Sus scrofa: one gene and its partners. The main gene of each other region encodes a partner of the protein of the gene in region 3 in a complex. Links are inferred from orthologs where the notes say so. Each region holds a gene or a part of one and is shown on either strand. Other genes may lie near its edges.

Region 1 (4,459 bases), on a different chromosome or scaffold from region 3:
ATTCTCACAAAAGGGAAGGGGGAGAAGATTCTCACAAGACCATGGAACTTACAGGCGTGTTGCTGCCTCAGTAGAAGTTTCATCTCCCTCAATCCTGTACACTTTCCCATACATTACATACTCAAATTGGTCAGCCCTGTGGAACAATAGTGGCAGTTATTGTTATACACAGTCAACAATAATAAGAGACCCTTTAAAAATGGTAACTGATAACTAAGTGCCAACATCATAACAACAGGCACTTTCCAAACATCACATCATTTAGTCCCGACAGCAACCCTGTGAGCGAGGTATAACTGTAGGTATTTCACTGATGAAGAAACTAAGGTTGAAGGAAGTCAAATGTTATTCAACAAATAAGTGATAGAGATGAGATGTGAACTGAGTGGGGCTCTAAAGCCTTTCCTCACACAAAATTCCCTCCTGAGACACAAGACTTACACAGCCTACGTCATTCAGTGGTCATTTCCTCAGCCATCAAAAAGCTACAACTCGAGGTTTCCTGGTGGCCTAATGATTAAGGATCTGGAAATGTCACTGCTGTGGCAGAGGTTCGATCCCTGGCCCCAGGACCTTCTGCATGCTGTGGGCATGCCCCCCTTCCCCCAAAAAGCTGCAACTCATGCTGTAATCACTGCTCTGGATAAACACCTGGATGTCTGAACTCTCCCTTTTATTTATTTTTTTGGGGGGGCCACACCCACAGCACAAGGAAGTTCCCAGGCCAGGGATCAAACCCAGGCCACAGCAGCAACCCGAGCCACAGCAGATCCTTAACCTGCTGAGCTCCCAGAGAACTCATTGTTTGTATCCTTCGTTGTTGTCTTTTTTTTTTTTTAAGGGCCGCACTCAAGGCATATAGAAGTTCCAAGGCTAGGGGTAGAATCGGAGTTGCAGCTACACGTCTACACCACAGCCACAGCAACACCAGATCTAAGCTATGTCTGCAACCTACACCACAGCTCACAGCAACGCCGGATCCTTAACCCACTGAGCAGGGCCAGGGATGGAAGCTGCATCCTCATGGATGCTAGTTAGGTTCATTACCACTGAGGCACAACAGGAACTCCTGTTTGAATTAAGTGCGGCAATTTCCTTAAGTTTACATAGATTCTGTTCATAAACATTTATTCTATGAAGTAACTAAGGGTCTTTCTGTACTACTTATCTATTTAGTCCTCAGGCATATTTCAAGTACTTCCTCACCTGGAAGGCCTATCATCTGTGGGGTTGTATTCACCATCATCCAGAGTACCATCTTCATACAAAGTACTGGCTATCACCAACCGGAACTTGTCACCTGAAAATAACAGCAATATCAGAGTCTGAAATGCAAAAACACTTGCTGTTATTGTTTGTGTTCAACACTTACCCAGGTCAACAGGATAAATCTGAATGTTTACATCTAAGATGAGGTCCATCTTGAAAGATTCACTCTCACAATGCAGTCGAGACACTGGAGGGAAACAGAAAAAGAGCAGCAGAGGTAACTGCCTGGCCAAGTAGACCCTCAAGGGCAGGGCAGACCCCACTTTGAGAAACTGTATGCACAGAATACTTAATCTGTATCCAATGGCCTCTCATCTGCTCTCATAGAAGTACAGGCTCAATAAGAACCACATATACAAGCAAAGAGGCAGAAAACTATGGCTGGTGGACAGAATGCCCAGAAAAGAATCAAAGGTCCTCTGGCAACAAATAATATCACGTTCTAGGCCTGCATGGGTGACTAAGAAACAACCTGCTCTGGGGCAAGTCAGTCATCCAAAGGTTTTGCCTTTCCGTGCCAGGCGCTGTGCTAAGGAGATTATTAAGAACTGCTGTTTGGGGAGGTCTTGTCCGTGGCTCAGTGGTAACAAACCTGATTAGTATCCATGAGGATGGGGGTTCAATCCCTGGCCTCACTCTGTGGGTTAAGGATCAGCTCAGGGGATTAAGGATCTGGTGTTGCTGTGAGCTGTGGTATAAGTCTCAGACGGGGCTTGGATCTGGCGTTGCTGTGGCTGTGGTGTGGGGCCTGCAGCTGTAGCTCTGACTCGACCCTTAGCCTGAGAACCTCCATATGTCCTTACGTCTGGCCCTAAAAAGACAAAATCAAACAAACAAACAAACACCTGCTGTTTGTTCTGAAGAATATCTCAGTCTCTAAGCAAAGGAAGAGACACCAAGGACAAATAATTCTTGATCAACGTCAGAACAAGGAGGTGTATACCAAGCAGTCAACTCTTAGAGAGGATTTCACAAAGAGCTAAGACTCTGAGGGCAACAGGCCCTGAGGTCGGATTATTTGCTGTACAGCCTTGGGTGGGTTGCTCAGCCTCTCAGAAGATGGGTAAGACACCACCTACCTCGTGGAGACTCTCGAAAGGAATAAGTAAGGCAATGTGTGTAAAGTGCACAGCACAGCGCCTAGCAGAGTGGGCAGCGATTAAAAAGATGCCAAGGAGGTTACCAGCACCATGAAGAAAGGTCACCCAGGCACCGGGCACAGCATGTGTGAAGCGAGGGAGAGCTCGAAGTCTCCGTTTTCTCATCTATAAAACGTTTCCTGAGAGAGGCCCCTAGGTCAGGACCTGCCGGTAGGGGAAGACCACATGAAATGTGTGGACAAGAGGCCCAGGGGCGTGTCCCTGAGATCAGCCGCTTCTCCCAAACCGCCCCTACAAACCTTACTCACCTCGGTCAAACTTCTTGCCCTCTGGGTCAATGTCTTTCACATCAAAAATATCCTCGAACAGAATGCCCGCCATGGTGAGGGGGCCACGAGAGAAGCAGAGGTGCTGAGCGCGTGACGAAGACTACGGAGCAGGGCACGGCCCCGCGTGGAGAAAAATGAGAGAGGAAAATGCAGCGCCTGAAGAGCGGCAGCAAAGAAATAGAAGGACGCATGCGCACAGACCAGCAGTAACGCAGCTACTTCCGCCGCCTAGCTCTCGGGGCTTCTTAACTTCCGCCCCGAACGATTGCTTCCGAGAGGCTTCAGTGTTTAGGGCGGTCTCACGTCCAGATAACTCCTCCCAGGGCGGGAACACGATAGGTCCCACCTCCAGCCGGGGGTGGCTTGGTGTCCCGCTCTCTCCGGAGGCTCTAGTGCGCCCTCTTCAGATGCCGGGTTAGGAAGACTGGAGTGCTTGGGGGCCTACCCCAGCCAGGGACCTTGATCCTTGGCCCAGAGAATCCTGGCCCTAGCCCTACCCTGTCGGTCCGCGGGTCTGCCGAGGGCACAGTCCGCGCAAAGGGCTAGCGGAGCAGAACCACGCCCCCAGGGCGATGGCCAAGTAGGGTGCCGTACCCAGTCCTTCTAGCTGGCACTGAGGAATCCCGGGCTGGCCCAGGCCGGCTGGGCCCAGCTGGATGTCACCCGACCCGGTGATATCCACTTTGGGAATTTGCCATGATGTCACCATGGGGAAGAGGGAAGTCTGCACTGTCTCCTCCTCTGGTACTGCACCCTCCCCACCCCTGATTTCTTACCTCGCACCGCCCCTTCAGCATGGTATTAACCCCATCACACTGCTCTCCTCAGTACTGCCCCTTCGGCTCGGTTCTGGCCTTTCCTCCACCACTGCGCTCACCTTCTGGACACGTTCTCCTAAGTGCTCCTTCATCCCGGCATTGTCCTCTCCTATGGATACCACCTCTTCCTTTACACTGCCCGTTCCTCTAGGGTGCTGGTTCTCACACTGTCCCCTTCCTGGGCACTCCCTCCTGGGAACCCCCTCTGCCTCCCACCTGCCCCTTCACCCTGGTACTGCCTCCTCCTGCACAATGCCTGTTTTCCTGGGCACTGGCCTGTCCCCTGACTCTATCTCTGACTGTGTTCACCCCACACTTGTTCACCCCACCCTTTGCACTTTTCTTCTCCGGAGCCTGATAGAGAACGCAGAGCCCCAGCAGGCTGTTCCCCCTTGGCAGCTAGACGTCAGCAGCTACTCGGGTTTCTTCTTCAGCCCTGCCAAGGAGAAGCGACCTCTGTCCCCCCACGCCCGCCTCCCAGGAGCGGCCTCCCCAGCACCTAGACCTCCCTTCCCTCCGGCTCCACCCACGCACAAGCCTCAGGCCAGCTAGCTCCAGGTGCACCTCCCCGGGACAGTCGCAAAGAAAGGAAGGGGGATGAGAGAAACCGAAGTTTCCAGTTCCAAGCACCCCTCTTCTGGGCCTAGCGTCCCCCTCCGAGTCTCCCCAGTTCTGTTTCTCACCCCCCACGGAGCAGAGGGGCCTTGCCAGGCCGGTCTGAGCCGTTGGCTCCTTCAGCAAAGCAAGTGAGGGCACCGCTCTCTCGAGAGAGATTGGGCCCGAAAGTCGGCTTTAGACGGTTCAGCAGCCTGCAGCCCCAGGTCCTACTGAGCGCCGACCTCGGTAGCCGCCCCCGGCCGGACGCGGGGAGCCGCAGACACTGCCCAGCCCCTCCACGTGCCAGCGGACCCGCCCCCACCCAGGCCCGGACGCCCCTCTCAGC
Region 2 (4,168 bases), on a different chromosome or scaffold from region 3:
TGATTTTTGCCTTCCGATGAATACAAAGTAAAAAATAGAAGTAAAAAATATAACTTCTACAATTTATTTGAAAATCAGTCATGGGAGTTCCTGTTGTGGTGCAGCAGAAACAAATCCAACTAAGAACCATGAGGTTGCGGGTTTGATCCCTGGCCTCGATTAGTGGGTTAAGGATCTGGCCTTGCCCTGAGCTGTGGTGTAGGTCACAGACATGGCTCAGATCCTATGTTGCTGTGGCTGTGCCATAGGTGGGCAGCTGTAGCTCTGATTCAACCCCTAGCCTGGGAACCTTCATATCCTGTAAGTGCAGCCCTAAAAAGCAAAAAAAAGCAAAAACAAAAAACAAAACAAAACAAACAAACAAACAAACAAACAAAAGGAAAAACAAAAGAACAAAACGAAACATAGCTCAAGCAACAGCAAAGCCAGATCGTTAACCCACTGAGCGAGGCCAGAGATCGAACCCACAACCTCATCGTTTCTAGTCGGATTTGTTTCTGCTGTGCCACAACATGAACTCAAAATACAAAAAACATTTTGATGCTGAAATTTAAACATATAAAGAGTGGGAACTATGATTTTTAATCTACAAATACCATGATCTCTCTCTTTTTTCTTTTTAAGGCTGCACCTGTGGTATATGGAAGTTCCCAAGCTAGGGTCTGAATCAAAGCTGCAACTGTGATCTACACTATAGACAAGGCAACAGCCACCAAAGCACATGAGCCATACCGGGTCCTGCAGAGAGCCCTTGCTTGGGTCGCAAGGCCCAAAGAATGCTAGAATTACTCCCAGAATATTTCGCTTTGTTTTCTACCACTGTCCAACCGCCACAGTGAAGTGCAGATTCAGGAACCGCTGGAGTTTGCAGTTCTCCAGTCCAAATAAATAAATTAGTACTCTATAAGGTTGGTCCGACTTCTCAGGAGAAACGCTCCCCGCGACTGGGTCCTGGTAAAATTCGAGACCAATAAAATAAACATCCCAGGACTGAGTCCTGAAGGGAAAAAATAACCTGAGGCAGGCGCAGCTTCGTCACCTATTTTCGTATCCAACGTAACAGAACCAGGCTGAAGGGGGCGCCACAATCTTCCTTCAGAACCGCTCCTCTCCCTCTCCAGGCTCTCGGGATCACAGTTGCAATTAATTATGACGTCACAGCCAATCGAGAGCCGGGACGCGTGGACTCTCTAGCCCGCCACGCGCTCGCTGCTCGGTTGCCCGCGCGGAGCCGGCGCTCTAGCCCGTGAAGTTGACTTGCTCCTCTCGCCTGCCCCAGGAAAGACCCCCAGCGTAGTTGTACCCGACGCGGGATAGGGATTCCGGAAGTTTGGGCTCCTTAGTCACAGAGGCACAAGGTATGCGTAGGAAGAAATCTCGGGTTCTGCATGCTTACGTCCAGGGACAGAATAGGCATGACCTCTCTGGGGAAGGGGCTACTCTCTTAATAAACTCCTCATCCCCTTCCCAGCCCTCGACCACCCGTCTGTCATGGACCTCGCCCGCACATCCTCTAGCTTTCAGTCGGACTTGGATTTCTGTCCGGATTGCGGCTCGGTCCTGCCTCTGCCCGGGACTCAGGATGCGGTCATTTGTACTCGCTGTGGCTTCTCCATCAACGTGCGGGGTGAGGTGCTGCTACGCCGCGGCTGGGGCGGAGGAGGGCCCATGGGGATCTCAAGATCGATTGGATTAAAGACGGGGACCCGAAAGCGCAGGATCAGGCACTTATACTTTTGGTCGGCACGAAACCTGATGGGTAGAATATAGCTTCCTGGCCTAACAGAGAGGGATTAGTGTGGTGTCAGCCCCCTCCGCTGTCTCCACAACCAATTCTTACTGCCCGCGCAGACTTTGAGGGGAAGGTTGTGAAGACCTCAGTTGTGTTCCAGAAAGTGGGGACAGCCATGCCTATGTCGATGGAGGAAGGACCTGAGTTCCAGGGACCCGTGGTAAGTGAATCACGTCGAGGACTGGCCCTGTAAAGAGGGTGGGAACGAAACGGAGGGCTCAGATCTGGAGAGTTTTGTACACAACAGGGAAGAAGAGTCTTTAAAACAGTAGTGACTGGGGAGAGTTTTCTTGTGGTGCAGCCGGGTGTTAAGGATCTGGCCGGCATTGTCACTACAGCGGTTTAGGTCGCTTCTGTGGCACGGGTTCGATCCTCGGCCTGGAAACTTACACGTACTGCAGGTGCAGCAAAACAAAAACCAGCAGTATCTGAGGAGTGTGGTAGCTTGATGTCTGTGAGAAGTAGTGGGAATTATTAACCTACCAGTTGCTTCCCAGGTTGACAGGCGCTGTCCTCGTTGTGGTCATGAGGGAATGGCATACCACACCAGACAGATGCGCTCAGCCGATGAAGGGCAGACTGTCTTCTACACCTGTACCAACTGCAAGTGCGTATCCTTTCCCTCCATTCTGCCCCTTCTGGGTCTCTTTGCTGCCAAAATCCCGTGATTTAATTTAAATCCAGTGGTTTAATTTTTGTACTTTTTGGACTGGTCGCATCCTTCATTTCTGTACAGTTCAAGTAATAGGTTTGTGATCGTTTTCTTCCTTCCTTCCATCCTTTCTTTCTTTCTTCCTTCCTTTCTTTCTTTCTTTCTCTCTCTCTCTCTCTTTCTTTCTTTCTTCCTTCCTTCCTTCTTTCCTTCCTTCCTTCCCTCCCTCCTTCCTTCCTTCCTTCCTTCTTAGGGCTGCACCCCGTGGCATATGGAGATTCCCAGGCTAGGGGTCACATCCGAGCTGTAGCCTCTGGCCTCACCACAGCAACAGCAACGCCAGATCACAGCAACACCGGATCCCAGCTGCGTCCACAACTTACACCGCAGCTCACAACAATGCCAGAGCCTTAACCCACTGAGTGAGGCCAGGGATTGAACCACATGGTTCCTAGTCGGATTTGCTTGTGCTGCTGTGCCACGATGGGAAGTTCTGTGGTCTTTTTAAATTTTAAATAATTACTCTTTTCCTATCTTTTTATACCCAGTGAATTAAACCTTTTACAATAGTTAAAAGGAAATGAGTATTGGTTTGTGATCAGTGTGTTATGTTGGACTCCTCCACTGCCCTCAAGGTAGTTTTACTTTGGTGAGAGTCAGTCATGGATGATTTAAAAAACATGGGTTCTTTATTTTTATTTCTTTATTTTTTTTTGTCTTTTTGCCTTTTCTAGGGCCGCTTCCCGAGGCATATGGAGGTTCTCAGGCTAGGGTCTAATCAGAGCTGCAGCCGCTGGCCGACGCCACAGCCACAGCAATGTGGGATCCGAGCCAAGACTGCAACCTACACCACAGCTCACAGCAATGCCAGATCCTTAACCCACCGAGCAGCCAGGGATCGAACCCACAACCTCATGGTTTCTAGTCGGATTCGTTAACCACTGCACCACGACGAGAACTCCCAGAACATGGGTTCTTTAAAACATAGTTTTAAGAATTCCTCTTTGTCTTTGGTGTCCTTCAATTTCACTACAATCTATCAAGATGTGGCTTTCTTTTATTTATCCTGTTTGGGATGTGTTGGGCCTTCCAACAGTGAGGGTTGACCTTTTTTCCCCCATCAACCTTGGAAAATTATCAGCTGTTATCACACTGAATATTTCCCTCATATGCTCAGTTCTCATATTCTTAGAGTTCTAACTGATTAGCTCTTTATTAGGCCTTATCTTCTATCCTCCATTTCTCTCACCCTGTCTCCCATATTTTCCATCTCTTTTCTCTTTATGCTGTTTCTGGATAGATTTTTTAGTTCTGTTTGATTTTTTTGTGGCCATGCCGGCAACATGTGGATATTCCTGGGCCAGGGATCAAACCCTAGCCCCTGCAGTGACAGTGCTGGACTTTAACCCACTGCACCACAAGGGAAATCCTGATTATTTTTCAAATCATCTTAGTTATTTTTAATAATTCCCAATTCCTTAATCATATTTTAAGTGGTTCTTTTTATTCATAAAACATATTACATGTAAACATTAAACATGATATTTATGTTCTATGTCTGTTAATTCTCAAACCCACTGTTTTTGTGGGTCTGATGCTGCCATCTGTTATTTCTGCTGACTCCCTCATGGTGCTGCTTTTGTTTTGTGCTTTTTTTACTATAAGCTCAGATTTTTAAAAGTTTGAACTATGGGAATTCTTTGAGGCTTGTGGTGAATGCTGTA
Region 3 (4,428 bases):
GATCCTAGCCGCGTCTGCAACCTACACCACAGCTCACAGCAACGCCGGATCCTTAACCCAGTGAGCAAGGCCAGGAATGGAACTCACGTACTCATGGATACTAGTCAGGTTCCTTAACCACTGAGCCATGACGCGAACTCTTGGAAGTTGATTCTTTAAATGAATGGTTCTCAAAGTGCGATGCCTGGACCAGCAGCATCAACATCTCTGGAAACTCATTAGATATGCACATTCTTTTTTTTTTTTTTTGTCTTTTGTCTTTTTGTCTTTTGTTGTTGTTATTGTTGTTGTTGTTGTTGCTATTTCTTGGGCCGCTCCCGCGGCATATGGAGGTTCCCAGGCTAGGGGTTGAATCGGAGCTGTAGCCACCGGCCTACGCCAGAGGCACAGCAACGCGGGATCCGAGCCGCGTCTGCAACCTACACCACAGCTCACGGCAACGCCGGATCGTTAACCCACTGAGCAAGGGCAGGGACTGAACCCGCAACCTCATGGTTCCTAGTCGGATTCGTTAACCACTGCGCCACGACGGGAACTCCTAGATATGCACATTCTTAGATCACATCCCAGACCTACTGAACCAGGAAACCCTGGGGGTGGGGCCCAGCAAACAGTTATAACAGGCTCTCAGGGGATTCTGGCACACACTCAGATTTGAAAACTCCCGGCCTGGATAATGGTAATATTTATGATTGACCAGTAGTTCTTAAAGGGTGTTCTCCCTACAAGCAAAATCGGCATCACCTGGCAACTTAGGAATACAATTTATCAGGCCCCAGACTCACAGAACCAGAAATTCTGTTTTAACACACGCTCCAGGTGATGCCAATGCTAGCTAGACTTTGAGAAACAATGCCTAAAGCTGTATTTGCCTGACCACTGGGAAAGCCTCATGCGCTCCCATGGGTACCAGAACCTCTACTTGTAAAGCCTATTTCATAGTATATAAGGACAATTAGGATTCCTGCTGACTAATGAAGTGCCTGGCTGACAGTAGGTGCTCAGTGTTTGTTGAGTGAATTAATACAACAATCCTGAAAAATGGGAAGTTAGTTAAGCACAGGTGGGGTTCGCACGGCCATCAACCTGGACTTCACTATTGGAATTTTTTTTTTTTGTCTTTTTGTATTTTTCTAGGGCCGCACTCCTGGCATATAGAGGTTCCCAGGCTAGGGGTGCAGTCGGAGCTGAGGCCGCCAGCCTACGCTAGAGCCACAGCAATGCTGGATGTGAGCCGCATCTGTGACCACAGCTCAGGGAAATGCCGGATCCTTAACGCACTGAGCGAGGCCAGGGGTCAAACCCGTAACCCCCTGGTTCCTAGTGGGATTCCTTAACCACTGAGCCACCACGGGAGCTCCCACTATTGGATTTTGACGGGATTTTGTTTTTACTGCCCACAGGGCCGCCTCCACCCCCCATTCCCCCTCCGCCCGGGAGGTGGCGCTCTGGGGCGCCCATGAGGCCAGGCTGGGAGGCGGGACTTCCTGCCTTCGAGGAAGTACTTCTAGCCCAGCCCGGAAGTCAGAATATTCGCTGTTGTGGGAGGTCCCGTGGAGGGAGTTGAGCTTGGATTCAGTTTTCGGGCTCCCTCGTGGCGCGAGGGTCAGGCGAACGGCCCGCGGAGGTTCGTTTCTCAGGCGACCACGGCGAAGCCTAGGCCACGTAAGTGTGCACGCCGCCTGGCCGGCACTCAGCGGCAGGTCCCTCTGCTCAGGTCCGCGGGCTCCGAAGTGGTTTATTAGCAGCCGCTGGCTCCCGGAGTTGGGAGGATCCCGCCGCTGTAAAGCGTGGTAGCAACAACTGTCTGACACCCAGCGCTTGGTGCGAGATCTGTCTTGCTATTGTTGGGTTGAACTTCTGGAGCCTGGAGGTGGATGGGGAAGGCTTGGACGAGGGGATGTCTGAAGGGAAGGGCTGCCAGCATCCACTCTCCCATCCTCTGGCAGGCGCACCTTTTGCCGTGCCCGGCCTGGAATTAATGCCGGTGACTAACCCTGCATCCTTGGATGTCGAAAGGGGCTTGGAGAGCCCAGCCCGAGGGCGGGAAGTCGAGGCTGTCTTGTCTTGGGGCTTCTCTGAGATCATGGGCTCCACTAGCGCCCTCAGCCTATGTATTTGTAAGGCTGTTTGGTTTCTTTCTCCTCTCTTCCATTCGTTCTGGATTTGTTCCTTCAGCTTATAGATGTTGATTGTTACTATGTAGCAAATACCAAGGCACTGGGGATAAGGTCCCTTCCCCAGGGGGACTCTTAGAACAGTTTGGAATCACATAGCTTCATCCATAAGTCTCTAACCCCACACCGGAAGGCGTTCTTAGGAGGAAGGGTGCAGGGTGTTTGTTGTGGGCTAGGGTTGGGAGAACTGGGAGAAGTGTCCTGACTTGCAATCTGAAGGGTGAGTAGGATTTTTGTAGGTGGGTAGGAAGGGCAATGGGGCTCATTCTAAGCAGAGAGATAGCGATAAACGGTCCTGAAGTGAAAAGACACATTCCCGCCACTGCCCTCTCCTGTTACGGAAAAGAGAATGACAGCAGCAGCCAGACGCCAGGATCTCAAGAATGAATCAGATACTGTCTCTGCCTCTGGAGAGCAGTCTCGCAGAAGAGAGAAGACTACACAGAAACCACAAGTAGAATGAGGCCCAGAGAAACACATTCATTCATTTGACAAGTATTTACTTCACTTACTGTGCAGTGGACACTTCACGGGGTGCTGAGGGTACATGGATGTTGGAGGTTACAGAATAAACAGGCACAGTGCACCTGCTGTTGCTGGGGAAAGGGTTTTGCTTCCTGAAACTCTCATGCTGGTGTTTCCTTCTGGATGCACAGGAAAGCGAGTAGTGGTTCCGAACTTGGACTTTGAGTCTGGTGGAGGATCACGCTGTTGGCCTTGGGAAAGTCACTCTTTGCTGAGCCTCAGGGTCCTGAACTCTGTCTTAGAGGCAGAGGAAGAGTGAGACATGTAGTACCTTTGTCTGGCAGATGCTGGTGCTCAGTCAGTGAGCGCTGCTGTTATTTTTGTGGTTAATTAAAAAAGGGAAGAGGGGTTTGGTGTTCCAGTTGTGGCTCAGTGGGTTAAGAACCCAACTAGTATTCGTGAGGATGCAGGTTCAAACCCTGGTCTCGCTCAGTGGGTTAAGAATCTGGTGTTGCCATGAGCTGTGGTGTAGGTTGCAGACTCGACTCAGATCCCACGTTGTTCTGGCTGTGGTGTAGGCCGGCAGCTGTAGCTCCGATTCCACCCCTAGCCCAGCAACTTCCACTTGCTGCAGGTATAGCTGTAAGAAGAAATGGGAGGAAAGAAAAAGGAGGGATTATTTTTCTGCTTTTCTAGGACACTTTGTATTTACCAAAGGCCTTTGACGTAAATTTATTATTCAACACACAGTCAGCTACATTTTTTGGAAGGTACTTTACCTGTCAGTGGGAAGGCAGACAAATAAGATTCGTTGTCCCTGGCTTTGGGGACTTGAGTTTGTCTTGAGCGTGTCGTCTGAGGATGTATAATTAGGATATATGAAGGAGCGGGATGGAAGCTGACCCCTTGCCACCTGACTTGGTCCCGTCACCTACCTCCGGGTTCATTCCGTGGCTGCCTGGTTGTTCAGGGGGTGCCACATGCCTTCTGCCTCTGTGAAAACCACACCCTCCCCTCCCCTCCCTCCTGGCTGGCTGGTTGGTGTTCATGGAGCACTTATTACTGTCTGGCACTAGGCTGCATGTTTGTTCTTTGTTAGCTGCTTCCCCAAAGAAACTCTTCCCCCCTCGGGGCCCTTTTTGCCTTCCCTGCCTTCCCAGGAACACTGGCAGCTGCCGGCAGGTTCTGGTCTCTGAGCAAGGCCAGTGTGACGTGTGGCTCTCGTTTTCCAGGATGGACTTCCCCAGCCCGCTCCCGCCCTCTTTGTTTATGACCGGCCCCCTTGGTCTGAGCGGTGTCCCTGATGTGTCCTTCATGTGCAGCTGGAGAGACGCGCTGACGCTGCCGGAGCCCCAGCCCCGGGCCTCTGAGGTGAGGGTGGCGGGGGGGGGCCCGGGTGGTGCGCCTGGCCCCCCGCTCCTCGCACAGATCCGCGCCGGAATCCTCTCCTTTGGGGACCAGGGATGCTCTGCCGTCCACCGAGGGCTCCTGAGCGGGAGCTGTTGGCTTGCTTTCCTGCCTCCCTCTCCCTCTTCTTTCCTTCCTCTATCTGTCCAGCAAAGACTCACTGAACAGCCACTCCTGTGGGCCAGCTGCCTTCCGGCCTGGCATCCAGTGTAAGTCAGATGCTCTCCCTGCCCCAGGGGAACAGAGGGAGCTTGAGCCAGAGTAGACGAGTGAACAGGCCCAAGGATGAGATCACTACAGAGTAAGCGAAATCCAAAGGATGCCCATCCAGCCCAGTGGGCCGGGGGCGCAGGGGTGGGCAGACCTCCCGGAAGCCTAA
Region 4 (3,698 bases), on a different chromosome or scaffold from region 3:
CCACGACAGGAACTCCTCAGCGGAAACAAATCTGACTAGGATCCATGAGGATGCAGGTTCAATCCCTGGCCTCACTCAGTGGCTTAAAGATCCAGTGTTGCCATGAGCTGTGGTGTAGACCTCAGATGTGACTCCGATCCCACATTGCTGTAGCTCTGGCGTAGTCTGGCAGCTACGGCTCCTATGGCTCCGCTTCCGCCCTCTAGCCTGGGAACTTCCATGTGCCGCGAGTACAGCCTTAAGAAGAAAAAACAAAACAAAAACAAAAACCTAATCTATAGCCGTGGGGGGGAGGGGGCACAGGTTGCTATACCCCATTCCTCTCATTCTCTGTTCTTCTCTATTTTTCTTCCTATTTTCTCCGACTTACATACCATAGATTCACTTATTTGTTTGGTTTGTCCTCTTTTTCTTCTCACTAGAATGGAAATTCCGCAGGAACTAGAATATTTTCCTCTTCTGCTCGCGGTTGTACCCCAGCCTAGAGTATGCCGGGGCTACAGTGCTCAGCACATTTCTGTTGAGTGAGTGAGCGATCAGTACGTGTGCGTGTGTGTGTGTGTGTGTGTGTGTGCACTTATTTATACACGTGCTCTTCTCTTCAGTTTCAATACTTTACTCGAAATGTTGGATTAGCTGCTCTGTCCTGGATGTTGAGACGGGGTGGTGAATGTCTACACGTTCCTGTCATTGTTCTTCCAGGACAGGCCCTTCCAGGCAGTGTCATTGGTCCTGGGGACAGAATGGTGGGCAAGGGAGGTACCCTAACAGGAGAAACAGGGTCAAGGTCGAACTCCCTGAAGAAGTGGAGCGAATCGTGTGAGGGCAGCGCGGGAGAGAAGGCAGGACTGCCCTGTCTGCAAGCCTGCTAGAAACAGACAGACAAAGGAAACGCACCTTCTAGAACTGTTGTATCTATTTACCCGGAAGTGTAAGAGTTTATTGGGTAGCAACTAAATGTTTTCTGCACACATGGCTACAGAGCATAGTATCTATTTTCAGCATGATTATCCTTAAAAATGTTTAGGTTATAGGGTATATACTCAACTGCGTCTTACCTTGTCTTTGAGATACATTTTACCTCTTTTTTCGTACACATCCCTTATTGAAACTCTTTCTTTTCAAAAACGCAGGTTTGCAGAAGAGGACTGTATCCCTTACATAAACGCTTTTCAGCATTTTCCAGAAGAGATGAAACTCTACGGGCGTGACAAAGGAATCTTTGCTATAGAGGTGAGTTCCTTTCTTTGTACTTTGCAGTCAGAAGACACAAGAGTATTATGGTGAGGTTGCAGATTCGATCCCTGGCCTTGCTCAGTGGGTTAAGGATCCGGCATTGCTGTGAGCTGTGGTGTAGGCTGCAGACGCAGCTCAGATCCCGCGTTGTGGCTGTGTCGTAGGCCGGCGGCTACAGCTCTGATTGGACCCCTAGCCTGGGAAGCTCCATATGCCATAGGTGCGGCCCAAGAAATGGCAAAAAGACAAAAAAAAACAAAAAACAAAACTGTCACTTAGGAGGTTTTTTAAGTAATTGATTTGAAAATCTGCATAATTCATTAATTCGTAATTTTAAATTTAGCTGCTAAACGGGCCTCGTTTAAATGTTCTTCCGAAAAGCTACTCAGTTCAGTGATTCTAGGGGTGTCTTTGGTTGGTGACTTTCCCTAGAGGACCAAGGGGACTGAGTGGTGCGTTCCTGTGGGGACCGCTCAGCCTTGGCGGCCCTGTCTCTCCTCTCCTCCTCCGTGGCTCTCCCTCTCTTCCCTTCTCTTTCCTCTCACTTCATCTCCTGTCTGTTCTGTTTCTTGTATCCTTATTGACTGGGTTTTAACCTGATTTCTCAGAGCCACTCATCACTCAGATTACATTGAAATTTTTGCTGGTCGAGGTTATTTATACTTTTTGTTGGCACCTTACTGTTACTTGTCTTAAAATCCCTAACCAAATTGTAAGCTTCTCAGGAATAGACATCAGCATTTTATATAGTCATGGAATATTAAAACTGGAGGGAAATTTAGAGATCTCTTAAGCCTCTTATTTTTTCAAGAAGAAATGCAACTTGGGAATAACAAACCTCACCTCATTGGGGTTTTCAAGAGACAGTATATTCAAAATGCAGACCTATCACTGACCTAGCACAGACATTGAAATGGTAATAGGCTTCCTTCCAGCCTCCAGGGTGGAAAAACTTTTCCTCTGAGGTAGAGATTAAGAGGATAATCAAGCTGCTAGGGGAAAAAAAAATGTATGTATCAGTTTGGGAAAATAAAGTTTTTGTTTTAAAAGTCTGTTAAGGAGTTCCCATTGTGGCTCCGCAGGTTAAGGACCCAACTAGTATCCATGAGGATGTGGGTTCTATCCCTGGCCTCACTCAGTGGGTTAAGGATCCTGTGTTCCTGCAAGCTGCAGTATAGGTCGCAGATGTGGCTTGGATATGCCATGGCTGTGGTGTAGGCCTTAGCTTCAGCTCTGATTTGGCCTCTAGCCTGGGAACTTCCAGGTGCCACAGGTGCAGCCACACACGCACACAAAAAAGGTCTATTAAAAAACAACCACCTTGAATGTGCCATTTCTACGTTTTTCAAAGTAGGTTCTACAAAGTCCATAGATACGACTCTTGCTTTTCATTAAGGTGGTTTGTAATTTTGGTTATCATAAATTCAGCTTATAAAGGATATTGCTTCCTTGGCTGGGTTTATATGGTGTCTACCAGTAATTTCCTTGTGAATTAAGGAATTCAGTTTCACTTTATGCATACTCACAAAGACGCTCAGATTTCACTCAATAAAAATAATTATTTTAAAAAATTTATTCTGTGTCCTTTCAAATAGTAATAGATTACATTATTACCAAATGTTTAAATGACTGCAAGAGTGACATATAATGCACAGACCCAAGTGAGTCTTACTGTAATAGCCAGTGTGGCTCATACTTTCCAGAAGCTTAGCTTAAGCCTTTGCTTAATATTTGCATTGCCCTCCTGTGAGCAATATGGTAAGAAGTCCCTACAAGTATTACAGCCACATTTTGGGGCGGCGGGTGGTGGGGGGGGAAATGGGGGAGGCTGCACCCATGGCGTGTGGAAGTTCTGCAGCCAGGGATTGAGCCTGTGCCACAGCAGCTACCCAAGCCACTGCAGTGACAGCCCTGGATCCCTAAGCTGCTGTGCCACAAGAGAACTGCATTATACACATTTCTGTCTGGTGATAATTCAAGGTTTCAACCTGAAATATTACCGTCTCAGTGTTGTGTCAAATCTGTACCATTCTCTGCCCCAAGATACAAGTTTAGTAAGTTGAGGTGAAGTGAGTTATTTATACGTCCACTTGCTCGTTATGTTTTTGCTCCGAAACCATTCAAATACTAATTTTACTTATCCTGTCAGTTACTGAGAGAAGAATATTGAAATCTCTAACTGTGATAGCAGCGTTTCTTTAAAATTCTATCAGTTTTTGCTTCAGGTCTTTTGGAGCTCTAATACTAGGTCATAGTACTTAGGATATTTGTCTTCTTTATGAGTTGACTCCTTTATCACTATGTAATGTCCTTCCCGCCCCCCCCCGATAATGTCTCTTGTTCTGACATTCACCTTGTCCAATATTCATATAGCCGCTCTAACTTTTAAAAAAATTAATGTTTGTACAATACATCTTTTTCCAGTCTTTTATTTTTAATCTATTTCTTTATATTTAAAGTCA
Region 5 (4,164 bases), on a different chromosome or scaffold from region 3:
AAATATCAGAATATCCATTCTCTTGTTACACAACAGAATGATTTAGTCAGGAAAATACCAATTTGGCCCAGAGAATACACTCCTGATTTGATTCCCTGGGTTACAAACACGTCCCACTATTCCAAAGTAGTTAAAGCGAAAGTCTGTGGAAACTGGGTTTTCCTTTTTTTCCAATTCTTAAAAATTACCTTACAAACTATTCATTATCTACAATGATGCATGCTATCACAGCAATTCCAATACAGTAAACATTATCACCTAGTCTGTTCCCAGGAAAACCTGGTGGTAGTTAACTGAGAAATAAAAACACTGCCTGCTCTATCAGTAAGCAAAGGATGTCAGTCATCAGTGATTTCAGCCACCTCCGATGGTGAGCTGGTGAGCCCTGAGCGAACACAGGCAAGAAACACCTGCCAGCCAGCAGCCACACCATATAGTGAGCCCTGAGGAAACTCAGGATGGAAAAACAGGGGATACTGGCTAGAGACAGCTGAGGTGCACATCAAAGACGTTATTTCAGTGAACCCAGACCTTGGCATCTTCTCATACAAAGACATGTGCTGAATTCCTTAACTTGAGGTTATCTGCCCTTCGTTACAGGACCCTCCCCTTGTCACCCTGCAAGAGTTCTCTCTGGGTTACTTGAGATGCTGCCTCCTAGACTTAAATCCTCATTTTGCCCCAAATAAAACTTAACTCACAGTTGTGCATATTTTTTATGTAGACATTTTTTTAGAAAAACACTTACCTTTGATTCTCAATTTCCAAAGCTGAATCAGAAACTGTTGTACAATTGTGAGAATCCATCTTGATATATAGTCTTCAAGCTCCTCTCAAAATTGTCACTTGTCCTTTGCTTTAAACAGACTTCTGACCATATGAAATCTGGTAGATGTGATGTAGTTTCCCTGAACAAATAAATGCCAACAAAACAGCTAGGATCAGAGTAATGCAGATATTGATGTAGTCAATTACGAAAATTAAGACAAAAATGAATGTAAGGCCTTTAATATTCTCATATACAACTGTCTAATTCTAACATCTAAAGATTTTATTCATGGGTTCTTTCAGTTGTGCCTACTTAATCCATCCTATAGAACAAGATTCCAGATTTCCTACAGGAGTGTCAAACTTCTTTTCCCTAACAGTAAAAATGTAATTTTTACCCTTAGCCATACAGTCATGTAGTTACAAATAGTAATGTTCAATTAATGGCCAAAAAGCCATTTGCCAACAGTGGTGGGAACCAAGAAATCTCTTGCATAACAAAGATTAAGTCCCACAAAGGCAGCCTTTGGCCTCAGTATACCCAGAAAAATTATTTGGACTTACCTAAACCTAACCTTCAGGTCTGCAATTTTCATTTATGGCCTCTTTCCCTCACTAGATTTTAAGTTACTGTGAAACCCCTTCCTTGATAAATTACTTCTTTGCTACTATGGGTGTTAACCCAAAGTTCTGAATTCTCACTTTTCAATGTACAGACTACAATAAATGGTGCCCTTTGTCTCCTTTAAAAAAAAATCTCCTTGGAAGATTTTACAGTAGTTTGGGAAAAGTATTAAAGATGTCTTATTTTGTTCTGTTTCATTTCCTTATGAGGATGTCATCATTCTTCATTTTTTTGTGGTGTTCTTAGTCTAACATTCTTAGTAATGACACATGAGTAATGATGAAAGAAATCCTTCAGCAGCAGTATTTGAAATCTAAGAAATCAATAAGATCACCTAGATCTTAAATTCACAATGTCTCATGGACTCGTGTGATAATTTCATAGTGTTTTATTGCAGTTTTCAAAACTGCGTTAACCTAAGAAATAAATCATGAAAACAGCCTAAAAAAGAAATTCAACAAAAACTGGATCCAATGGCAATGATGGAATACCTGACATTAAGTTTAAAATAATTACAGAGCACACTATCAAAATTAAGTAAGCTTAACTCAAAAATGTTTTTCAAGAGTTTCTATTGTGGCTCAGTGGGTTAAGGACGGGACGCTGTCTCCGTGAGGATGCGGGTTCAATCCCTGGCCTCACTCAACGATCCCGCGTTGCTGCAAGCTGCTTGGGTCACAGATCCAAATCGGATTCTGCATGGCTGTAGTGTAGGCCGGCAGCTGTAGCTCCGGTTCAACCTCTAGCCTGGGAACTTCCATATGCTGCGGGTGTGGGGATAAAAATAAGAAAAAAAAACTTTCGGGAACTAGAAAGCATTCCTATCGCTTCCTGTTCCGGGATTCTGCAACAAGGGGCCACGGAGCCAGGCAGTGCTCTTTAGCAGCTTTAACAAAATCCCTTCAACTCTTACTTAGTGCGACCTTGGGGCGAATGTCTCCAGAAGTGCCTAACCTCGTGCAAGGAAAATGGCGTCGGTAACGGTTACCTCGCACTTAACCACCACTAATTGAGAAAACGTGCACTCGCTTCAATACACTTGCACTTCAACACCCACAACTCCGATAACGGCCCACGCGCTTAGCCTGTACCTGTGAGTCCTGCCGCCCAGAGCAGAGCCCACAATCACCGCGAGCCCTCCGCTCCCGCTGAGCCGCGCAGGCGTCCCGGGAAAAGTGAAAAGCGCCAGGCCCTCCCCCTCCTTCGCCCACAAGGCCCCGGCGCCCAAGTCCTCTTTCCTATCCGTCCAGACCGCGGACGGCTTATACCAACCTGTGCCCGCTCTGCGCACGGGTCTCCGTTGGCGTCCTCGGTTGCAGCCCCGGCCTCAGAAACCCGCGTTGGGCGCGCAGGCCCAGAAAACACCCAACCTCCACAAACGCGCGGAAGAAAAGGCTGGGCTAGTCCCGCGTCCCAGCTAATAGTGGCCCCGAAGTCTCGCGATAACAATTTGACTGCAGGAAATAACAGAGAGATAGGAGAAAACCAGACGCGGCGCTCCATATTGGCTGCCGCGAGGGGCGGGGCGATTTAGAGTGGGCGGGACCTGAGCTTTTTAACCCAGGGGAGGCGGACTTGACTGAGGCCAGGCCAGGCTTCTGGTGTACGCGTCCTGAACCGGTAAGGTAAATGGAATAGTCAAGAACGTTTGGGCAAACTATGAAAAAGAAATTGTGGGGGCAGGGGAACGGAATGAATGTGAACTGCGAGGAAGAGCCACTTCTCCTGCTTTGACTCCAGTGGTCTCCCTTTGCTGAGCTGTCCTCCGACTTTCCAAAGTCTGATTCCGGGTGTGTGTGTTTGTGTGTGTGTCTACTTTTGCCTTCAAAAATCTCTTCTGTGTAAAATTGTGAGAGGATCATGCTGTGACTGAGAATCGAAATGTGTAACCTTTGTACTAGAAGCCATTGTTATCCAGTTACGCACTCAGTTCCCTCTCCACCTTCGGACTTGTTTTGTTAACTCAGTCTTTCTTTTGGAACTAAGGGTCAGCCTCCCAGGAGGTGGTTAACACATCGCAAGAGATGCCAGCGGGGGCCTTTTTTTTTTTTCTTTTTAGCCCTCTTAGTTCCCTGAGCGGTAAATGAGTGTTAAGGTAGAAGTTAAACTAGTTTAGTTTTGGTGGCAATTTTTTCCCCCGAAGTAGTTACAAAAAAGGAATGAGCTGTCCTGATTTGTCTACTTTCAGACCTCTTGTATCATATAATAAAACCAGGAAAGCTGTCTCGTGTTAATTTGTGGTTAGTGTCATCTCGGGATAGGACAGACCTGGAAGGTAATCAGGTTTCTTTACTCAATTTTTCTCTAAATGTTGTTCTAAATTCCAGGCGCAGAAAGTCTGGTTTTCTAGGCATTATGAAGTACTGTCAGCTCCAGGACAGGTATCACATGTCTTAGTCACTGCTATATTCCTAGGCAGGCCTGCATATGCAGTTTGTGAAGCTCAGTACAAAATGAAAATGCATGTATTTTATATGCATAACTGATTCACTTTGCTGTAAACCTGAAGCTAATAAACATGGTAAATCACATATACCCCAATAAAATTTTATTCTATTTTATTTATGTTTTTTAGGGCTGCAGGTGCAGCATATGTAAGTTCCCAAGCTAGGGATCCAATCAGAGCTACAGCTGCCAGCCTACACCACAGCTGCAGCAACATGGGATCCAAGCCACATCTGCTGGATCCCCAACCCACTGAGTGAGGCCAGGGATCAAAACCTGAGTCCTCATGGATACTAGTCGGGTTCATTTCCACTGCACCACAACAG
Region 6 (3,698 bases), on a different chromosome or scaffold from region 3:
CGTTTGTGAAGAGTTACGTAGAGGTAAGTGGACTTTTCATAAATGTCTATAAATCTTTGTGCTTTGATTCAAATTGCTGGAGTTTGGGACGCATTTGTGAAGAGTTATGTGGAGGTAAGTGGACTTTTCATAAATGTCTATAAATCTTTGTGCTTTGATTCAAATTGCTGGAGTTCAGGACGCATTTGTGAAGAGTTACGTGGAGGTAAGTAGACTTCTCATAGTTTCACCAGTTTCATTCTGTTATAAGCTTTATCGTTATTGATTAGAAGGCAACTAATGGAGAAAATGGTTTAAAAAAAGGGAATATGATGCCACTTTTTTTTTGTCTGCATAATTTTTATTTTACCAAAGTACCTTATATTTTCTCTTACCAACATGCTGTACATGTGACGGTATTTTTTTCACCCCTGGATAGCATGTCGTGGCCAAATACAGTTGTCTCTCAGTAGCCGTGGATGCTCAGTCTTTATGTGTGCAGTGTTTGCATATAACCTATGCACATCCTCCTGTTGACTTTAAATCACCTCTAAGAGTACTTATAAAACATGTAATAAATTGTAAATGCTATGTAAATAGTTGCCTGTGTACAGCGCATTCAAATTTTGCATTTTGAAAGTTTCTGAATTTTTTTTTTTTCTGAATCTTTTCCATCTGTGGTTGGTTGAACCCTAAAATGAGGTCTGAGAGGATTCAGGGCCTGTGGCTGATGCTGACTCTGTTTATAAAGTTATTAGCCTTCTAGTTGTAAGTGTCACTTCTGTGTTCTTCTTGAGCTTCTGAGAAAAGCAGAAAGTTCTCTTATGATTTGGTGGGGTATTGCTGGGAAGGAGCTAAAACTCTGGAACTACGTCACAAATATGAGACGAAGAGTGGCTTTCAGAGGCTCTTAAGGATGTCCTGCCATCTCAGAGTCACTGTGAAAGGACAGAGCGCGCTGGCCCTGGGCGGTGGGAGTAGTTCATCAAAATAATTTGCTTTTTGGCTTTCTTGCTGCCCGGCCGTCTTGGCAGCTGCTTGTGGTTGGGGGCGTCACGCACCTAAGGCAGGAAGATGGTGGCCACAAAGAAGATGAAAAAGTTGCTGGAGTCAATCAACGCTCGGCTCCAGCTCGTGATGAAAAGTGCCAAGTACGTGCTGGGGTACAAGCAGAACTCCGAATGACCAGACAGGGCAAAACGGAACTGGCCATTCTCGCCAGCAGCTGCCCAGCCTCGAGGAAATCTGAAATCGAATGTCACGCCATGTTGGCCACAACTGGTGTCCATCACTGCAGTGGCAAGAATATCGAACTGGGCACAGCACTGGCCATCACTGATCCAGGTGATTGTGGTATCATTGGCAGCATGCCAGAACAGACTGGCGAAAAGTAAATCATGCATGAGTTTTCTTCAATGAAACCAGCTGGGCTTGCTTTTTAAAATAATAATAATAATAATTTGCTTTTTGGAATTCCCGTTGTGGCTCAGCGGATTAAGAACCCGACTAGTGGAATTCCTGTCATGGTGCAGCAGAAACGAATCCGACTAGGAACCATGAGGTTGCAGGTTCGATCCCTGGTCTTGCTCAGTGGCTTAAGGATCCAGCGTTGCCATGAGCTGTGGTGTAGGTTGCAATCATGGCTCGGATCTGGTGTTGCTGTGGCTGTGATATAGGCCAGCGTCTACACCTCCAATTGGACCCCTAGCCTGGGAACCTCCATATGCTGCGGGTGCGGCCCTAAAAAGACAAGAAAGAAAAAAAACCATTTTGCTTTTTGGAAGTTTCATTAGTGCTAGTGCTGAAGTGATGATTGTATTATCAGAAGATAATCTCTGAAACTGCCAGCAAATCTGGAAATTCCTGTTTCAGAATGGGAAAGAATGCAAAGAAAGGAGTTATAATTCTTCCGCCCTCCCTTTGTGGCTGACGTGACATTGGGCCCTGTGATGGGCTGCATCATGTGGTCCTTCTTTAGCCCTTAGTGTGTCCTACTTTGAAGACGTCATGTCTCATAGGGACAGTTTTTCATGTAGACACTTGCTGCATCTTTCTACCACAAAATAGGATAAGGAACAAAAAGGGGAAACCGTGTAGGCCTTTGTTGTGATCGTTTAGCAGTTTTCTGATTTTTTTTGTGCTCATCAATAATGTCAGCTTGTGCAGTCTATTTCATATAGCCCTCTTACAGAATTTAGCAAAGATGTTTTGACTTATTTTATATAGATGCTGGAATTCTATGGGGATCGAGACGGAGCCCGAGAGGTGCTCACCAATTACGCCTATGACGAGAAGTTCCCGTCCAACCCCAATGCTCACGTCTATTTATACAGCTTCCTCAAGCGAGAGAAGGCCCCCAGAGAGAAACTGCTCCGTGTGCTGAAGGTAGCGCGCTTCCTATCAGCGAGCAGGGGTGGGGGCGCACTCTAGCCCGTGTTTTAGCCAGGTCTTGGGACAGCACTTTCTGACATTGATGTCATAGCACCCAGAGACAGTGACAGTGTGCATACGGTACACTGAGGTCAAGACAGGAGGCCCCACGCAGACCCCCGCCCCATCCCAGGGGAGACCAAGCGGAGGGACCCGTGTGTCAGAAGCCCTGCGTCACCCTGGTTGGGAAGCTCTGCATTGCAGTTTTTTTTTTTAAGTGCACCTTTATTTGAAACTTATGTACAATAAAACACTTATTTTACGTGTACCTTTGGATGCATTTCGGCAGATGGATGCGTCCACACGATCCCTGTGATAACTGAGATGTGAAACATGCCTTCAGCCTAGAAAGCCCCTCATTGCCCTTCTCAGCCAGTCCACCCTCTGACCCTTTGCCCCGGGCAGTCGCTGACCGGCTGTCACTGTGGGTTGGTTTTCTCTCTTCTTGAATTTCATGTAAACAGCGTCCGACAGTATGTACCCTTTTTCTGTCTGTATTTTCTCACTCAGCCGAATGTTTGAGATTCATCCTTGTTGTAATTTGTTCCCTGTTACTAATGAGCAATATTCCATTTCTGTATATTCACTTCTCAGTGGACATGGATGTTGTTTTCACTTTGGGGCTATTATGAATATCCCCGTGGGTATGCATGTGCATGATTTTAGGAACCTCTATTGTCCTTTTTCTGTGGCAGCTCCCTAAGAGCGGCACTGTGGAAGGTCCGTATTAAACTGCCCAGCTGTCTTCTGCGGTGACGGTACCACTGACCTTCCCGGTACCAGGGTGTGAGTTCAGTTTCTCACACCCTCTTTGGCATTTGGTATTCAGTCCTTTGAATCACAGCCATTCTAGTGGGTGTGTAGTGGTGTCTCAAGGGCTTTTAATTTGCATTTCCCTGATGGCTAATGATGTTGGACATCTTTTAATAGGCCCGTTGGCTATTCTTACACGTCGTCTTTTGTGACGTGTCTGTTCACATGCTTTATTTTTTGGAGGCTTATTTGTCTTCTTATTGATTTGGAAGTTTTTCATATAATTTGGATAAAGTCCGTTGTCAGATATACAGATTGTAAATATTCTCTCCCAGGCTATGGCTTGCCTTTTTGTTTTCTTTACAGTATCTTTCAAAGAACAGAAATGTCTAATTTTGATTAAGTTCAATTTATTCATTTTTCTTTTATAGTTAGTACCTTTTGTTTAAGAAACCTTTAACCAGAGTTCCTGTCGTGGCTCATTGGTTAACGAATCCAACTAGGAACTATGAGGTTGCAGGTTCAATCCCTGGCCT
Region 7 (3,698 bases), on a different chromosome or scaffold from region 3:
TCACGGCAATGCCGGATCCTTAACCCACTGAGCAAGGGCAGGGACCGAACCCACAACCTCATGGTTCCTAGTCGGATTCGTTAACCACTGCACCATGACAGGAACTCCTTTTTTTTTTTAATATATTTTCAAATCCCAGTAGGCAACAGGATGACTTGTATCTGGCATATCTTTAATATTACTTGAAATATAAAGTCTGTATTTTAGGGTCCCCTATACGCCACTAATATTTACAAAGAAAAAGAAAGTTAAAAATGTGTTAGTGAGTGGACCAGAGCCCTCAATAAAACCACCACCACAGAAAAAAGGGGGTAGTACAGGTTAAATACCTGTCACTAACCCCAACCAATGAGGTGAGTATAAGGTAAGATGCTGGCTGCCACCAGAGAGAATGTAAAAGGCACTTTTGGGATCAGCTTCTGGCCTCTAGAGCCCTTGACCCTGGAGAAGGCCCTGGGGCTTCCTTGACAACAAGAAAAAGACCAAACAGCTAAGATGGAGGGACAAAACACCTCACAAGAACTCAAGAGCACCTTAAAATGTCGGAGGGAGTCAGCGATGCTAGGAGCGAGCTCCTTGTCTGCCCAGCCAACCATGACGCCATCCAGGAGGACAGGGTAGCACTCGCTGTACCGCCGATGTGGTGCACTGTCCACGGGAGTGACCCCTGGGGAAATCGAACACACAGAACCATCACCTCAGGCTCCTTTCCCCAACATTTAAATTCCCTCCAGATGGGTTCAATGTCGGCATCACCATTTTAGACATCTAGGCATCTTATCTCTAAAGCAGAATGTTTTTGTATTCTTGAGTAAATTTCTAAATCATTTCAGCAAGGACCCCCCAAATTGCGTGTCTGCAATTGCCCCTAGAGAGCACCCTGCAGACAGGGGTGTAAGGGAGGCTTTTTACCATACACTTTTTTATTTCTGAGCCATGTAAACATACCAACTTCTCCCCAAAAATCTAATTATAATTGATCTGCATTATTCACGCAACACAAATCTGCCTACTTGCTAAAATTTATTTGCAACCCCAGCTTCATACTAGTGGCACTTTTCCGATCACCAGAGGACATTCAGTGAAAATTTTGAGTTGTCTGAGACACGAATTCCCAGCTGAGGTCAAAGGAGGTGACGTGCAGTTTGCCGGTCTCAGCTAATACTATAGACAGACATCCTTCCCATGGTCTGTCCCAGGCCCTATTTATTTATTTTTTGCATCTTTGTGCTTTTCATTGGAGACTTTGCTATTTAAAATGGCCTTCAAGCACAGTACTAAATAAAGTCCTGGCTCCCAAGCACAAGGCTGGAAAACTGTGTTAGATAAGCTCAGAGTTATGGTGCTGTTGGCTGAGGGCTCGATGTTAGTGGATCAACAATATATATTGACTAAGGCATCTTTAAACAGAAACACAAAACAAGGCTATGTACCAATCAAGTGAGGAAGGTGTTATGACAAGAGACTTGCAAGAACCTAATCCCTGTTCCCCCAGAAGCAGTACCTCAGTATCTGCTAATTCAGTGCCAATGGTGACTTTACAGAAGTATTGCAATTACCAAGAACTTTAAGAACACTCTTTCATGAGCCATAAACACCTTCTGAAGACAGCAGGTGTTTCCCCAAATGTCACAGGTTATCCCCAATGCTTCACTCATCATCCCTGCAGGAATTCTCTGCTCAACTCACGCAGAAGCACAACTTAGTAGCTTTGCACCTGCTAAAACCCCCACAAGCACACAGGCCCGCTGATGGCTGTGCCCCACCTACCCAAGCTGCAGAGCAAAGCTGGAATAGAGGCTGTATACACGAACTGGGTGACGACCTCGCACGTGGCGGTTAAGTGGTTCATCAGACCACAGGGCTCCCCATCAGGGGTATGCACGGGGCAGAGGAAGCCCCAGGACTCTGGCAGCAGCCTGCGCACCGTGGTCGTCCGCATCTTGGCAAAATCAGCCCCTCTGTGCACACAGCGGAAGTGGGAGAGGTAGCGTATGAAGTTCAGCTTGTCAGCCACGACACAGAGTCCAGAATCCTGCAGGAAGCCAAGACCTTCATAAAACAAAAATCATCGAAAATTTGTATTGGAGGTGATGAAAAGATGACAAAACCTCAGAGCACAAACCTAAAGATCACAAAGTGGGTTATTACTGAGGTTACTCAGCTCTGGTAGAAGAAGGGGTTACAAAAAATAGCAAAAACCCCCAAATTTCACCAACTTGTATTAGCCTTGACTCTTTCCTCATCTCCTCTACACATTCTCCTTTATTAAATTAATAATACAATAGCAAGTAATTAAATGGGACTCATCTCAGAAGGCTGGATGACACACAAGCATGTCAGCTCTTAATGAACCTGCATCTGGAGTTCCTGCTGTGGTGCAATGGGATCAGTGGTGTCTTGGGAGCGCTGGGACACAGGTTTGATTCCACGGCCCAGCACAGTGGGTTAAGGATCTGGCGTTGCCACAGTTGTGGCTGGGATCTGATCCTTAGCCTGGGAACTCCATATGGCATGGCCAAAAAAAGAAAAAGAAAAAAAAAAAAAAAAAAAAAAAAAAAGAATCTGCATTAGAAGAACTGTTTTGTTTTTTTGTCTTTTCTAGGGCTGCACCCGCAGCATATGGAGGTTCCCAGGCTAGGGGTCTAATTGGAGCTGTAGACACCGGCCTACACAACAGCAACGCCGGATCCAAGTTGAGTCTGCAACCTAAACCACAGCTCACGGCAACACCGGATCCTTAACCCACTGAGCAAGACCAGGGATTGAACCTGCAACCTCATGGTTCCTAGTCGGATTTGTTAACCACTGAGCCACGAAGGGAACTCCCATAGTTTTTTCTTTTTTTAAAAAAAAAGCAGATTTCTGGGCTCTAACCATTTTTTAAAATTTTCCAGTCATTCTGATGTAACTGGTTTAGGGAAGGGCATGTATACCAAGCCTCCTAGACTCCCCACCTAGGTAACCTTTCCTCAGAGCTAAGCTGTCTTTAGTTTTCTAGAAGGAGGCATAGAAAACGCATGTGACCATTAAAAATAGAATAAAGCTATACAGACAACTTGTCTACAGCCTTTAGGCCAACATCCACCTATCAAAATTTGTAACCTGAAATCCGCCTTTGATGAAGTTCATTTTTTTTTTTTTTTTTTTTTTTTGCTTTTTAGAGCCACACTTGTGGCATATGGAATTTCCCAGGCTAGGGGTCAAATTGGAGCTGAAGCTGCCAGCTTACACTAGGGCTCACGGCAACACTGGATCCTTAACCCACTGAGAGAGGCCAGGGATTGAACTGACATCCTCATGGGCTAGGTAGGTTCATTACTGCTAAGCTGCAATAGGAACTCTCAGAAATTCATTTTTTTTTCTTTCCTTTTTTTTTTTTTTTTGGTCTTTTTGCCATTTCTTGGGCCACTCCCACGGCATATGGAGGTTCCCAGGCTAGGGGTCCAATTGGAGCTGTAGCCGCCAGCCTACGCCAGAGCCACAGCAACGCGGGATCCGAGCCGTGTCTGTGACCTACACCACAGCTCACGGCAACACCGGATCCTTAATCCCCTGAGCAAGCCCAGGGATCGAACCTGCAACCTCATGGTTCCTTGTCGGATTCGTTAACCGCTGAGCCACAACGGGAACTCCTCAGAAATTCATTCTTAAATAAATCTCTATTAAGCAAATAATTTGAAAATCATCACTAAATG

What was found.
Region 1: TAF1C (region 3) and POLR2H share a complex: the UniProt entries of both Homo sapiens proteins name them as parts of the pol I pre-initiation complex. The link is inferred for Sus scrofa from reciprocal best matches to the Homo sapiens genes TAF1C and POLR2H.
Region 2: TAF1C (region 3) and ZNRD1 share a complex: the UniProt entries of both Homo sapiens proteins name them as parts of the pol I pre-initiation complex. The link is inferred for Sus scrofa from reciprocal best matches to the Homo sapiens genes TAF1C and POLR1H.
Region 4: TAF1C (region 3) and TAF1B share a complex: the UniProt entries of both Homo sapiens proteins name them as parts of the transcription factor SL1/TIF-IB complex. The link is inferred for Sus scrofa from reciprocal best matches to the Homo sapiens genes TAF1C and TAF1B.
Region 5: TAF1C (region 3) and TAF1D share a complex: the UniProt entries of both Homo sapiens proteins name them as parts of the transcription factor SL1/TIF-IB complex. The link is inferred for Sus scrofa from reciprocal best matches to the Homo sapiens genes TAF1C and TAF1D.
Region 6: TAF1C (region 3) and TAF1A share a complex: the UniProt entries of both Homo sapiens proteins name them as parts of the transcription factor SL1/TIF-IB complex. The link is inferred for Sus scrofa from reciprocal best matches to the Homo sapiens genes TAF1C and TAF1A.
Region 7: TAF1C (region 3) and POLR1B share a complex: the UniProt entries of both Homo sapiens proteins name them as parts of the pol I pre-initiation complex. The link is inferred for Sus scrofa from reciprocal best matches to the Homo sapiens genes TAF1C and POLR1B.

What each region holds. Positions count from the first base shown.
Region 1 is NC_010455.5:122,250,046-122,254,504, reverse strand, and holds the start of POLR2H (DNA-directed RNA polymerases I, II, and III subunit RPABC3), read right to left. Parts: upstream 2,877-4,459; 5' UTR 2,751-2,876; coding exon 2,678-2,750; intron 2,574-2,677; exon of another isoform or gene 2,535-2,573; coding exon of another isoform or gene 2,453-2,534; intron 1,457-2,452; coding exon 1,373-1,456; intron 1,301-1,372; coding exon 1,207-1,300; intron 137-1,206; coding exon 53-136; intron 1-52. UniProt on the Homo sapiens protein: DNA-dependent RNA polymerase catalyzes the transcription of DNA into RNA using the four ribonucleoside triphosphates as substrates.
Region 2 is NC_010449.5:22,625,646-22,629,813, forward strand, and holds the start of ZNRD1 (DNA-directed RNA polymerase I subunit RPA12), read left to right. Parts: upstream 1-1,225; 5' UTR 1,226-1,358; intron 1,359-1,471; 5' UTR 1,472-1,491; coding exon 1,492-1,627; intron 1,628-1,851; coding exon 1,852-1,952; intron 1,953-2,289; coding exon 2,290-2,399; intron 2,400-4,168. UniProt on the Homo sapiens protein: Core component of RNA polymerase I (Pol I), a DNA-dependent RNA polymerase which synthesizes ribosomal RNA precursors using the four ribonucleoside triphosphates as substrates. Can mediate Pol I proofreading of the nascent RNA transcript.
Region 3 is NC_010448.4:4,447,242-4,451,669, forward strand, and holds the start of TAF1C (TATA box-binding protein-associated factor RNA polymerase I subunit C), read left to right. Parts: upstream 1-1,430; 5' UTR 1,431-1,665; intron 1,666-3,874; 5' UTR 3,875-3,875; coding exon 3,876-4,013; intron 4,014-4,199; exon of another isoform or gene 4,200-4,258; intron 4,259-4,285; exon of another isoform or gene 4,286-4,350; intron 4,351-4,428. UniProt on the Homo sapiens protein: Component of the transcription factor SL1/TIF-IB complex, which is involved in the assembly of the PIC (pre-initiation complex) during RNA polymerase I-dependent transcription.
Region 4 is NC_010445.4:126,562,202-126,565,899, reverse strand, and holds part of TAF1B (TATA box-binding protein-associated factor RNA polymerase I subunit B), read left to right. Parts: intron 1-1,133; coding exon 1,134-1,233; intron 1,234-3,698. UniProt on the Homo sapiens protein: Component of RNA polymerase I core factor complex that acts as a GTF2B/TFIIB-like factor and plays a key role in multiple steps during transcription initiation such as pre-initiation complex (PIC) assembly and postpolymerase recruitment events in polymerase I (Pol I) transcription.
Region 5 is NC_010451.4:26,164,467-26,168,630, forward strand, and holds the start of TAF1D (TATA box-binding protein-associated factor RNA polymerase I subunit D), read right to left. Parts: upstream 2,817-4,164; 5' UTR 2,666-2,816; intron 909-2,665; 5' UTR 808-908; coding exon 749-807; intron 1-748. UniProt on the Homo sapiens protein: Component of the transcription factor SL1/TIF-IB complex, which is involved in the assembly of the PIC (preinitiation complex) during RNA polymerase I-dependent transcription.
Region 6 is NC_010452.4:11,348,919-11,352,616, reverse strand, and holds part of TAF1A (TATA box-binding protein-associated factor RNA polymerase I subunit A), read left to right. Parts: coding exon 1-23; intron 24-30; exon of another isoform or gene 31-1,521; intron 1,522-2,205; coding exon 2,206-2,364; intron 2,365-3,698. UniProt on the Homo sapiens protein: Component of the transcription factor SL1/TIF-IB complex, which is involved in the assembly of the PIC (pre-initiation complex) during RNA polymerase I-dependent transcription.
Region 7 is NC_010445.4:43,957,129-43,960,826, forward strand, and holds part of POLR1B (DNA-directed RNA polymerase I subunit RPA2), read right to left. Parts: intron 2,053-3,698; coding exon 1,771-2,052; intron 668-1,770; coding exon 534-667; intron 1-533. UniProt on the Homo sapiens protein: Catalytic core component of RNA polymerase I (Pol I), a DNA-dependent RNA polymerase which synthesizes ribosomal RNA precursors using the four ribonucleoside triphosphates as substrates.